2 linked regions of the Struthio camelus genome follow. The main gene of each other region encodes a partner of the protein of the gene in region 2 in a complex. Links are inferred from orthologs where the notes say so. Each region holds a gene or a part of one and is shown on either strand. Other genes may lie near its edges.

Region 1 (3,600 bases), on a different chromosome or scaffold from region 2:
TTTCTCCCAGACAGTTCATGGCGCAGCTGGGATCAAGCATACCACAGGCACCAGGCGTAACAAATAACCAGGAGAAGGGAAAAGGAAAGTAAATAAACAGTAAGATGATCTTGGTTAATAAGAGGCTCAGGAAGTCCCTCCTTGTCCCCAGCCTTACTGTGCTCAACAATTCCCTGCAGACATGGAGGCAAGAGTGATCAAGACTAACAAGAATGACATGAGAACTGCCCTTATTTCATAGCTTAGGGAGATGCCACGGGCACCCGGAAATAAAGTACAGAAGTGTCTAAAGGGAAAGCAGACCAGCAAGTGATGAAGTCTTCAATGCAAGGAGATGCAGCAGCAGACACAGGGGAGAAAAAACACATCCATGGATTTTATCACAGCTAAGAGAGAAGGCGCCTACCAGTTACAGGAGCAAAGCAGAACAGACAGACACCAGCGCTTGAAATAGGCCTGGGCTCCAGTGACGTTTGTGCTGTTGCCCTTAGACTTGCCACAGAGCTCTTGCGATGGTTAAAAATAAAGTAAAGTAAACAAACTGGAGGATTAAAACTAACAAAATGCCTGTGCCCCTTTTAGGACAGGAAGTGCAGGACTCGCCCTTCACACAGACCAAGGAACGCACTGGTCAGGTGCCTCCCTCCCCACAAGCCATGGACGCAGAGAGAGGGATGAGGAGGGACGCACTGGAGGATGCGGTAACCTTCAGGATCGTGTTTCATCTTGTCTCGCAGGTTCGGTAGGACAAGGCAGCCCGTTGTCTCCCCAAGGACCGCCACCATGTCTGAAAGAGAGACCGGGCAGTGACCCAAGAGCAGCAGACACACAGCATCCAATGTATTTATTTTTACATCACCCAGCTGTCCCCATATGATAGGTGAGGAAACGAGGCAACGCATTGGCCAGGACCACGCAGGAAGCTTGTGGCAAAGAAAGGCACCCAGGGTTAACGCTAACGACGGACTGCCCACCTCAGGGTTATGCTGCTTGGTCTGACCCACAGGGAGGGACGTGAGAGCGGGTGCGAGGTGCTCTTTCCAGGCCTGGGAGAACAAGGAGTGTGATGTGGCTGGTTGGCATCACAGGGCTTGGCAGGAGATGCTTAGGGGGTGCAGGGGAATCCTGCACCCCTCTCCTCCACAGCATCCTGCCCCGGGGCAGGTCTTAGCCCTGCACCTTCCCCATTAGTAAACGTCTCACCCAGCAGAAGAAATAAAACCCCCCCTGGAAACTCCCAGCAGAGACACAGGGCAGCAGTTGCAGGATGCAAGTAACAGGATCCCAGGTGGAAAAAGCCACCCTGGCTCGGCTTACCGTGTCTGTAGGGGTCATAGAGAGCCATCGCCGCTGAGCCAGCAGCCAGCAGCGCTTTCTGCAGCGGGCTGGTGGGGATGTGCCCAGGGTACAGCTGGTAGCACCCGTCCTGCTCCTCCGCACGTCCGTCCTCCGCGGGGCGCCCCGCAGCCACCTGGGGCTCGGCATGGCTCAGACATACCCTGCCTGCAGAGAGGGCCCCGGAGGGCTGCGTGAGCGGGTGGCCCTGCCAGCTCCCTGCTGAGGGGTTCGTCACTCGGATGTGGAGAGGGCCCTCGTGGAGGCGATGGGCACCCCAAAGCAGGGTAAGAAGTGCCCCAAACCTGGGCCTGCCGCCTCCCTGGTGAGGGGTGCGACACCTGGGTGCCGTGAGGGCACTCACGGAGGTGGTGGGCACCCAAAAATGGCTGAGCAAGGTCCTACCTGGTCCTGCCAGCTCCCTGATGAGGGACGCGTCACCCAGGTGCCATAAGGGCACTCATAGAGGTGGTGGGCACCCAAAAATGGCTGAGCAAGGTCCTACCTGGTCCTGCCAGCTCCCTGATGAGGGATGTGTCACCCAGGTGCCATGAGGGCACTCACAGAGGTGGTGGGCACCCAAAAATGGCTGAGCAAGGTCCTACCTGGTCCTGCCGGCTCCCTGCTGCCATGAGGGCACTCACGGAGGTGGTGGGCACCCCAAAACAGGGCAAGAAGTGCCCCAAACCCGGCCTGCCGGCTGCCTGCTGGGGGACTTGTCACCCGGGTGCCGCAAGGGCCCTCGAGCAGAGGCCCCGCCGAGGGGCGCGACGCCCGAGGGGCGCAAAGGGCCCTCGCCGAGGCGGCGGGCACCCCCCCCCCAAAAAAACCCCCCCGGGTGAGCAGGGGTCCTACCCCCGGGCCTGCGGGCTGCCCGGCGAGGGGGGCGGCGGCCGGGGGCCAACCGCGGGGCGAGCAGGGGCCCGCGGCGGCAGGACGAGGCCCCGCCAGGGACACTTGCCTGGGGAGCCGCCGCCCGCCGGCCTCAGCCGGGCCCGCGCCGCCGCCGCCCGCCGCAGCCCCGCCAGCATCGCGCCCGGAAGCGCCGGGGCCGCGCGGGGCGGGACGGGACGATGGCGGCGGCGGCGGCGCGGGGTTTCCCGTCGGGGCTGTTCGCCGTGTACAAGCCGCCGGGGGTGGCGTGGGACGGCGTGCGCGGCGCCGTGGAGGCGCGGCTGCTGCGCGGTGAGCGGGGCCGGGGGGCGGCGGCGGGGGGGGGGGGGGGCGGCCGGCGGCCCCCCCCCCTCACCGCCGCTCTCGCCGTCCCGCAGAGCTGAACGCGGCGGCGCGGCGGCCCCCGCCGCTCCACGTCCGCTTCCTGCCGGGCGGCGGCGCGGCCCCGGGGCTGGTGGCCACCCGCGTGCCCGTGCTGGCCGAGCACCCCCTCGGTAAGAGCCGTCGGGGGGGGGGGGGGGGACGGGACACGCGGGGGCGGCGAGCCCGGCCCCGACCCCCCCTGCCCTCCGCTGCAGTTACAGGCCCGAGGTTCCGGCGGCTGCGGATGGGCGCGGGGCACCGGCTGGACGCGAAGGCCTCGGGGGTGCTCGGTAGGTTGGGCTGGGCGCTCGCCCGGGAAGGGCCTCGCTCGCCGGGGGCGTGTGGGGGGGGGTCTCGACACCCCCGGGCCTCCCGCCGCCTCGGGGCGAGCGCGAATGCGGAAGGGCGGCGGGAGCCGAGGCGGAGCGGCGCCGAGGCCTCGAGCGGCGCCCACACCTCGTGCGGGTGGTGCTGAGGCCTCGGGCGGGCGGGACTGAGGGCGCTGACGCCTCAAGCGGCGCTGACGCCTCGTGCGGGCGGCGCTGCCGCCTCGCGCAGCTTCGACGCCGCGGCCGACGGCCTGCGCCAGCCGCTCGCCCTGCCCCGGCGGCCGAGGGGGGCCCGCCGCGGCCGGCGTTGCTGAGCTCGTTGCCTTGTGGTCCCCGGGTGCAAAGTCCTGGACAAAGCGAAGTCCGGCCGCGGGGTGGGGGTCTGACGGCGTTTCTCAGGCAGAGGTTTGTCCCCTCCGTCCATGGGAGGGGGGGAAGGGAAGTGCCATAGGTGTGCGGCGCTGCATCGGTGCTTCCGCAGAAGTGACGTGCGACGGTTTCCGCTGTCTCTTGTGTTTCAGTGCTTGGCATAGGCCACGGGAACAAGCTGCTCACTGATCTGTACAACTGCCATCTGACTAAGGTACGTGATGGCTTTGAGCGGGCCCAGAAGGTCGGCGGGCAATGTCCTGCTTGAGTCCTGCCTCGCTGCCCCAAACTGTCCGTGTTAGAAACAGTA
Region 2 (8,174 bases):
CACCCCCCACACCATGTTTAGAGCAGGGCAGGAACTGATGGCCTAGAAAAAGCTCTTAGGGTGCAATCTGTAACCTCTGCAGGATGTCCTGCCTCTGCATCCTCTAGCACTCTGTACCTCCCTGCTGACAGCACAAATATCTTGGTAGCTGCTTTCAGTCAGGGCTATGCCCTGTCTTCCCATGCTGTATGTTATTCCCCCTCCCATCCCCCTGCCCAGCAGCTTCTCTACTATCTGAAGTGAATGCCCAAATTGGCAATTCCTCTGGCCTTTAACAGCTTTTTTTAACTGATTCTGTGTTTTGCATAATATTAATGTAATGCTGGTTTGCTGTTTGCAGCATCGTTATGTTCTATTTCATTGCCTTGGCTGAAGCACACAAACGAGTTGTTCAGCAGCTGAGGGAACAACTGGTTATGGTGAGATTAGACACATTACTTCTTTTTTTACTGCTTAAGTTTTCTTTGTGTGTTGCATCAGTGATCAGGAGCGCAGAGGAACAGCAGTTTTCTTAGTCTTCCAATTATTTGGTGTTTGGACAGGCAATGAAGAAAGTTTTACAAGTTATACAGGAAAAATCCCAAGCACTAAAGCATTCTTCAGTCTAGTTGGTTTACTTGGGTATCAGCAGCAGCTGGAGCAAGGCCCAGTTATGTCAGCCCACACACGTGTGGGACAGGATGCGCCCCTATGGTGTGGTGCCCCTGTTCTTTACCCACGGTCTTGCGTATGTTTGATCCTGCCAAAGTAGAACCTGAATCTTGTGCCTTCTGCCCCCTCCGCCATTTTACACAACCCCCATCTCTTACCGTCTCCACTCTCGCAAGCAAGAACCTCGTTTTTCCTACCTCGTCGTATTTGGTCTGTTTTCTGAGTGGAGGTCCCAGTACTGCCTGCAACAGATACTCTAGGTACAGCGAGAGATGGAGCAAGTCACCGCTAACAAATCTTTCTGAAAATGTTGCCAGTGCAGATATGCTTATTTGCAGGCCATCAGAGGCTGCTGCCATGCACCAGTTTGATAGCGTTCACATGCTGTGTTCTGAGAAGCTGTGCTGAAGCCAAAATCTAGCCTTGCTAGTAAGGCTTTCAAAGCTTTTTAGGAAGTAGCCCCTCTTTTACTGTATGTTAAATATGGCATTTAAATATGGCATTGTAAGAAAAGCAGTGGGTTCAGCGGAGATATTGAAGAGTAAGTGATTTTGGAGTGAAATTCTTGCTGCTTTGTGAAGGACTCCTATCTGGACTCCTATCTGGACTCCTGTCTTGGCAGTACAATTTTAAAGTTTTATGTGTGTGTCGGATGTTTTTACTAGGCCCAACACAGAACTGTTAACGTGACCTAACGTGAGGTGAATGAAGTCAAGACCGTTGTAGACCTAAAATTGTTTAGACAGCTGAGAGAGTGTGGGGAGCCACTAATCAGCTTAGCATGTAGTGAATACGCTGCTCTGTTTCTCATAAAGACATGAGTTGAATAGAGGTCATTTGTAGTTCCTTCTTCTGTTTATCTAAAAGGCGTATGTTTTATTCTGTCTTTCCAGGAGAGTCGTGACAAGCTGTTCCTAATCAGAAAGATAACAGAAGCTCAGAAGCATACTTGAAAACCCCCCAAAAAACAGAACTTGACTTTCTGAAACTTCCAGAACCACTAGATAAGAGTAGAAATGTCTACAGCACTTAAACCGAATAGCTGACGAGCACCTTGACTCTGCAGTCTATGTAATGAATGTTTTACGTTCTTAATGTTGATTAAGCTAATGGGGCTTAAAAGTTACCCAGACTTGAAATTTAACTTACTTGTACTGTATTAGCCCTGTCCAAAAAATTCAATGGTAGGATGCTTTATTGCTGCTAGAGTTTCAAGGTTGTCAGTGTTTATGTTAAATCCCAGTATTTCTAGGGATTTTGGGTAAAACATGCTCAGAACTGAGATTCCGTTCAGAAACTCTCTGAAGTGCTTTTATAAATTAAGCTTAAGAATTGGTGGGGAGGAGGAGCGATTTTACATGTTTGCAACTCATTTCTCTTTTAAAACCAAAGCAAAAGAAACACTTAAGTCAGTATTTTGAAATAGTGCATTGGAGGGAAAATACTGCATGAGTTTTAAATCAGTTTTCTAAGTATTTCTCTAAATTTTAGAGAAGAGGCTTAGACCTTTTGCTCTGAAGTAGCAACTGCAGTTGAACACTAGATAACTGACGAAAATGATTTAGGAAAAAACAAGCAGATAAAAGAATTCTGAATAAATGCTAGAAGAAACCACCAGTTGTCTGAACACGGAGGGGTGTACATCTCTAACAAAGGCAGTCAGTGGCTGTGATACTAGTCCTGCTGCTAGGGATTGGCCTTTGTTTAAACACGTAAGGCTTTCTTGCAGTTTAGTCTGCCCACAAACATCTGGAATACTATTCTTTCTGTTCTAAAATGTGAATGCTGGAGAGTTTAAACAAGTCATTTATAATACAGAAATATAACATTCAGAAACTTTCATGTGCCCGCACCCTTTACGTTCACCGTGATTCTTACCCCCGAAGTGAATCGACGGAGCTGTGTGCCTCTGAGATCAGTATTTCTAAGCAGCCTACTGGGTTTTTTTTTCCTGTATTTGAAGACTGTGGTTCTGTTAAGGATTTTCTGTAGAGAATTCTGGTTGCGTACATTTCTTGAAAGCTATAGTGTAATTAATATGTGAGATGTTGTAGTCTTGTTGTATAATGTTTTGGAAATTTTTTTCTATCTTCTTTTTCAAGAAAGTAACATGCAATAAACGACTCGATTTTTCTTTTTTAATAATGCAGTGTCCGGGGCTTTTATTGAACACTGGAGGTGAGTTGACCTGCGGAGGTTGCGCCCCTCCGTCTTCCTTACCCTCTGGAGGCGGGCAGTGCCTCCGCCGAGTCTGGGCGCAGGGCCGGCGCGCTGCGCCAGCGCGGGCGCTTCTCCGCGCCCGCTCCCAACGGCGGGGCGCTGCCGTTTCCATGGCAGCTGAGCAACGCCGGCCCTGACTGACAGCTCCGTCGCCCAGTGCGGAGCCGCCGAGGAGCGCCGGGCAGCCAATGGGAGGCGCGATGGGGCGGGGCGAGGGAGGAGCGCGGGCTACGGGCCGGCCGTTGGCGATGACGTTACCGCCGGGCGACGCGCCCGAGGAGGCGGCGGGGTCAGCGGGATGGCGGCGGCGCCGCCGGTGCTGCGGCGGTCGCTGGGGCGGTGCCGGCCGCTCTGCGGCGGAGCCGGTACGGCCTCGGCCTCGGGGCGGCTCCGCGCCGGGCGCCGCCGTCCGCAGCAGCCGCGCGCCGGGGCCCTCCCGGGGCCCCACGCTCCCGCCCGTGGCCTCGGCTTCGCCCCCGGCCCCGGCCCGGCGGCGGAACTCGCCTCACGCGTGTCTCTCCGCAGGTCTCGGCGGCGGGTGGCGCCCGCCCGCGAGGGGCGCTTCGGCCCGGCGCTGCAGCACGGGGGTGACCCCGGACGGCATCAACAAGGTCGTCGTGGACCGCATCATCCGCGTGGACCACGCCGGGGAGTACGGGGCGAACCGCATCTACGCGGGGCAGATGGCCGTGCTGGGCCGGTCGGCGGTGGGGCCGGTTATTCAGGTGAGCGGGCTGGAAAGCTGCCGCCTCGTTTCTTCTTTACTTTGCTTTTGTTTAACGGTGGTCGAACAAAGCGGTAGGGCCGTAGCCTTTATAGCAAGGTGGCTAGTTGTGTATGTCTTTCTAAATGGCTTTAAACATGTGTATTCATAAAGAGTGCTTGCATTACTTGATTAAGGGAACTATAACTCAGATATTTGCTGATATTTTTATGTTGCCCGTTTGTAACTATCCTTATTTGCCCTTCTTCCTGTTTCCTTTGTATGTTGTGAATACTTACCTGTAAAGTTAGTGTGGGTGACCTGAGCAACGTGTTTATTTCTGTTCTTGCTATTAGTTTTATTTAAAAAGTCTGCCTTTTTGGTGTTGCGCTTTACTATGATTTGGTTCTGTTTCAGCAAATGTGGAATCAAGAAAAAGATCATCTGAAAAAGTTTAATGAACTAATGGTTGCATACAGAGTTCGACCTACTGTTTTATTACCTTTCTGGAATGTAGCAGGCTTTGTTTTAGGTGAGCTTCTACTATTATTATTGTTTTATGAATTCTTTGAATGTATAAATTATTCATGTTGCTTTGAATTTCATTGTTTGGATTTGTTTGTACCACAATCATAGGGGCTGGAAGTGCTTTACTTGGAAAAAAAGGTGCAATGGCTTGCACAGTGGCAGTGGAAGAGAGCATATCGGATCACTATAATAGTCAGATCAGAACTCTTATGGAAGAAGATCCAGAAAAATACAGAGAATTATTGCAGGTATTTTACTGTGACCTAAAAAGTAGTTTAACAAACTAATTGAATTATGTAATGAGACTTTTTTTTAGAACAATGTGACAGTAGAATTGCAGTAGATCTTTTCGTCCTGTAACTTAAAACTGTGAAGGCAACAGAAACCTTAAACTAAAAGAATGGTTGTTCCTTTAACATGCTAAATTGATCAAACACCAAAATTAAAATATGTTAAATCAACCTCAGCACACTTTCAGTAATTCAGTAATTTTCTTTTGATTGGGAGAATTGTACTTTAATTTTGAATGTTTTTAACTGAAATGAAGAGTTTAGAGTAAAAGAAAATGGGAAAAGTGTGAGGAGTTGTGTGGTAATATTTTGGTTATACTGGATGTGATTATATTATTCAAGCGTTGAATACAGAGTGTGAAAGGAGCCGATATACTTGTTAGGTCTACAAGAAAAATAATTCCCAAGTATTTTAGTCATAAAATTGGGACACGTTTTGTAGGTACTTGTGAGAGAGGACCTGTTTCCACATGCAGCCCATTGAGTTTGTTTGTGCTTTGCTTGCTCTAGGGACTGCATGTTCATTCCCAACTCTCTCTGCTGTTGTTATGCTCAGCTGTGCATAGTTTAGCCTGTGGCCGTGTCTGGTTACTCCAAACTTGTCCTGTTGTCACAGAAACAGTATCTGAAGTAACCCAGCCTGTGCTGATGTGTATGACAGAAATATTACTTATAAAAGTAAAGGCTAATAACCAAAAGGTGCAATATAAAGAGGAAAAAGTTAAGCAGCAAGGCTAGTCAGCCGCCTCCAATTGGAGGAGGACTAAAGATGAAAGTGAAAGAGAATATGAACCCTGTGGGCCGGTGTCTGTAGGTGCTGCAAATTACTAAGCACTTCTAGGTATATGTAGGCATCTTAAGAGAAACTTCCTTAAATCTTTCTGACCCAATTGTCAAAATACAGAAGAAAAATAGTGATGTAATTAAACCTCAGCTATTCTATTTGAAGGTGCTGTTTAATTTCTGCACTAGCAGTGCTCTTTGCCTTTGTCTCTGTGAGTTTGTTTTTTGTGCTTCACTTGCTGTTGGAGTCTCTTCACAACTTTTTTTGTCCTCTGTCTTGTTCTTTAGCGTATGCTAGAATGGACGAAAGCCCTGCTGGCTTACAGGGGAACAAACACCCTTAATAAAATCTGGCAAGGCAGCGACGTTAATTTTTTAATTTAATGTGTCCGAGTAACTGTTGTATGTGTGAAGCTAATTAGCATTGCAAGTTACCCTTGACTACAGGTTTTCCTGAAATAGTGGGGAAAAAGTTATATTTTAGATTAACTTTCTAAAGATTTTTCAGAATATTAAAATAACTTTAGGTTTGAGGGATGCTGTAAGCCTGGCAGGACAATTCCTTTCTCAATGAATTGGGGTTTCAGGTCTTTAAGAAGCTGAACGTTTTTGAGAGAGACCTGGGCCTCAGATGCCGACCCTGGTGCATGCAGTGGCCAAAAGCATGTGATTTTTGTATTCTAGCTGCCTCTTTCTCTGTACAGTAGACCTACTAATGACCTACTATTTTTAAAGATAATAAAGCAATTTCGGGATGATGAACGGGAGCACCATGACATTGGGCTCGAGCACAACGCAGAGTCAGTAAGTATAGTGTTAACTCGTTAGTGCTGTTAGCAGGGATCTAGGTGTGATAATCTCCCATATCCAGTGACTGTGACATAATTCTTCATGTGAGGGAAGAAAAAAAAAAAAAAAAAGGTTTGATAGTCCTTCCTGAAAATAGGTGCAAGATAACACTGAAATGGCACTGCATCTTATAGCTTTTTTTTTCCCCGTCTAGAATAGAATTGAATCTGTTGGAATTTATGTGTAATATTAAAGTGATTTTTGCTTTCCTGGGAAGTGTCCCCTGCTCAGATTTAAAGTGTTTATTTAGCGTTATATTGAAAATATTTAATCTAATAAATATTACCCATACAGCTGGGAAATTGAGGCATTGTCTTGATAGACAAACACAGCCGCATTAGGAAGGATGAAATGCTGAACTAAATTTTATGCTCATAGGAGGACTGTGTGACTTCCCAACTTCTTTCTCTTGATTTGTGGAGAAATAGAAAACGTTCTGCTAAGTTGATGTTGATTTAGTTTTATCTAGGGTGGTTGAAATTACAAATATAGTTACATTATTAAAATAATGCTTGCTGTGGCTTATCACAGATTAGATTCAAACAAAACATGTTATTGGAGTGTTAGATGTATGTAATCTTTTATTCTTTCTTTTACAGGCACCAGCTTATTCAGTTTTGAAGATAGCTATACAGCTTGGATGCAAAGCTGCTATATTTTTATCAGAAAGAATTTAATGATATTTTCCGTAGCGATTGTGGTAATAAACTACGACACAAAAATGTGTGAAATCGTGGAAGAAAAATAGTCATTTTATACAGCCTTTTAAATTTTTCTTCACTAAGCATCTGATTAGGCTATCCTTTCTCATATTGAGTACCCGTTCAATAAGTATCTGCATTAAGGTCAGTGGAGCTAAATGTGAGCGAAGATGACAGAATTGGGTCCATACGAACTAAACCTCCTAATTCTGAAACTGTTCACAAGGTGGCAGTAAAATATATATGTATATACATGATTCATACATATATAAAAATGGTAAATGTATTCTCCCTTACCTTCACATTTATATTTATTTGAAGGAAGCTGGAGCTCATTTTAAATTAGTTGGTACTGACTAAGTAGGATATTTTTGAGTTCTGTTTGAAGGGTAAGTAAATGAAGTCCTAGTAATTATTTCTTTTCTGTCTGTCTTGAATAAAGACTGGTTATTATAAGACTTCCATTTGAATACTTTTTTTTGGTGTTTTTAGGGTCACTTCTCAATTCCTTATTTAATCAGAAATTCTATATACCTGATTTTATCCTGAGTATGCAGAAGGAGTGGACCCCTGATGTGAAGCACGTGGGCAGAGCAGTGTAGACCACCTGTAGAATCTCATCTAGTATTTTGTTACAGCTTTCAGCTTTATCTCCCTCTGTATCTAGACTTCAGTGGCTCTTGAATAAGGACTGTGGCTTTCCTAGTGTAGGAACAATTTCCCCCTGTTTCCTGCTGGCATCTTGGTGTGGAGCAATAGAAATACACAAGACAGTTCTGCCTACCTGCTCTGTTAAATGCTGACCAGAGATGACAAAATACAGACAAGAAAATGGCAATGAAATTAGTATGTCTTACACTGGTAAGAAAAGAGACTTCCCTTAACGTGTGTCTGAGAGCCTGGGGATAGAAACTGTTAATGGTTCCAGGCAGGCAGAGAGAGGGATTGGTTTGTGACTCCGTTTGCTATTATTTTAAAACATGATAGATGAAACCTGTAGGGAGTTACGAGTTGCTAATCTTGCTTCCTGCTACATCATTTTTGAGATGGAGTGGGGAATGGCCCGCTGGTGAGACGTGGACACAATTGCAATTGCAGTTCAGGAGATGATAGGAACTTCTTTGCAAGATTGTTTCTGTTGCTCTTTATGTCTTAAGAACTTCCTGACCGTTCTTTTCCTACTGCATTGTCATGGAAGCAAAGTAACTTTCCAAATGCATGTGGAGAATATAAAAGATGGTGATCTCTTGATATAAACATGCAAACTCCCTGCAAGAGACTTGCATTCCCTATAGTTGAGAAGCATGATTTTTGATTGTTTGGCAAGGGAAGCCCTATGAATAATATTGCAGGTCATGTAGAAAGCACACATTCATGCTTTCCCCCTTCTTTCTGTGCTTCTAAAACTTTGGGCAGACAAGGCTTTCTCAACTGCCATAAGCTAACTTT

The links. The genes of interacting proteins can lie anywhere in the genome.
Region 1: COQ7 (region 2) and COQ4 share a complex: the UniProt entries of both Homo sapiens proteins name them as parts of the multi-subunit COQ enzyme complex. The link is inferred for Struthio camelus from reciprocal best matches to the Homo sapiens genes COQ7 and COQ4.

What each region holds. Positions count from the first base shown.
Region 1 is NC_090961.1:7,544,881-7,548,480, reverse strand, and holds the start of COQ4 (ubiquinone biosynthesis protein COQ4 homolog, mitochondrial), read right to left. Parts: upstream 2,378-3,600; 5' UTR 2,367-2,377; coding exon 2,293-2,366; intron 1,500-2,292; coding exon 1,318-1,499; intron 788-1,317; coding exon 691-787; intron 1-690. Other genes in the region: TRUB2 (pseudouridylate synthase TRUB2, mitochondrial), read left to right, coding at 2,409-2,520, 2,607-2,723, 2,808-2,882, 3,443-3,504. UniProt on the Homo sapiens protein: Lyase that catalyzes the C1-decarboxylation of 4-hydroxy-3-methoxy-5-(all-trans-decaprenyl)benzoic acid into 2-methoxy-6-(all-trans-decaprenyl)phenol during ubiquinone biosynthesis.
Region 2 is NC_090956.1:10,261,311-10,269,484, forward strand, and holds COQ7 (5-demethoxyubiquinone hydroxylase, mitochondrial), read left to right. Parts: upstream 1-3,133; 5' UTR 3,134-3,169; coding exon 3,170-3,236; intron 3,237-3,396; coding exon 3,397-3,596; intron 3,597-3,991; coding exon 3,992-4,106; intron 4,107-4,210; coding exon 4,211-4,350; intron 4,351-5,910; coding exon 5,911-5,979; intron 5,980-6,623; coding exon 6,624-6,701; 3' UTR 6,702-7,183; downstream 7,184-8,174. Other genes in the region: TMC7 (transmembrane channel-like protein 7), read left to right, coding at 341-419, 1,545-1,604. UniProt on the Homo sapiens protein: Catalyzes the hydroxylation of the 5-methoxy-2-methyl-3-(all-trans-polyprenyl)benzoquinone at the C6 position and participates in the biosynthesis of ubiquinone.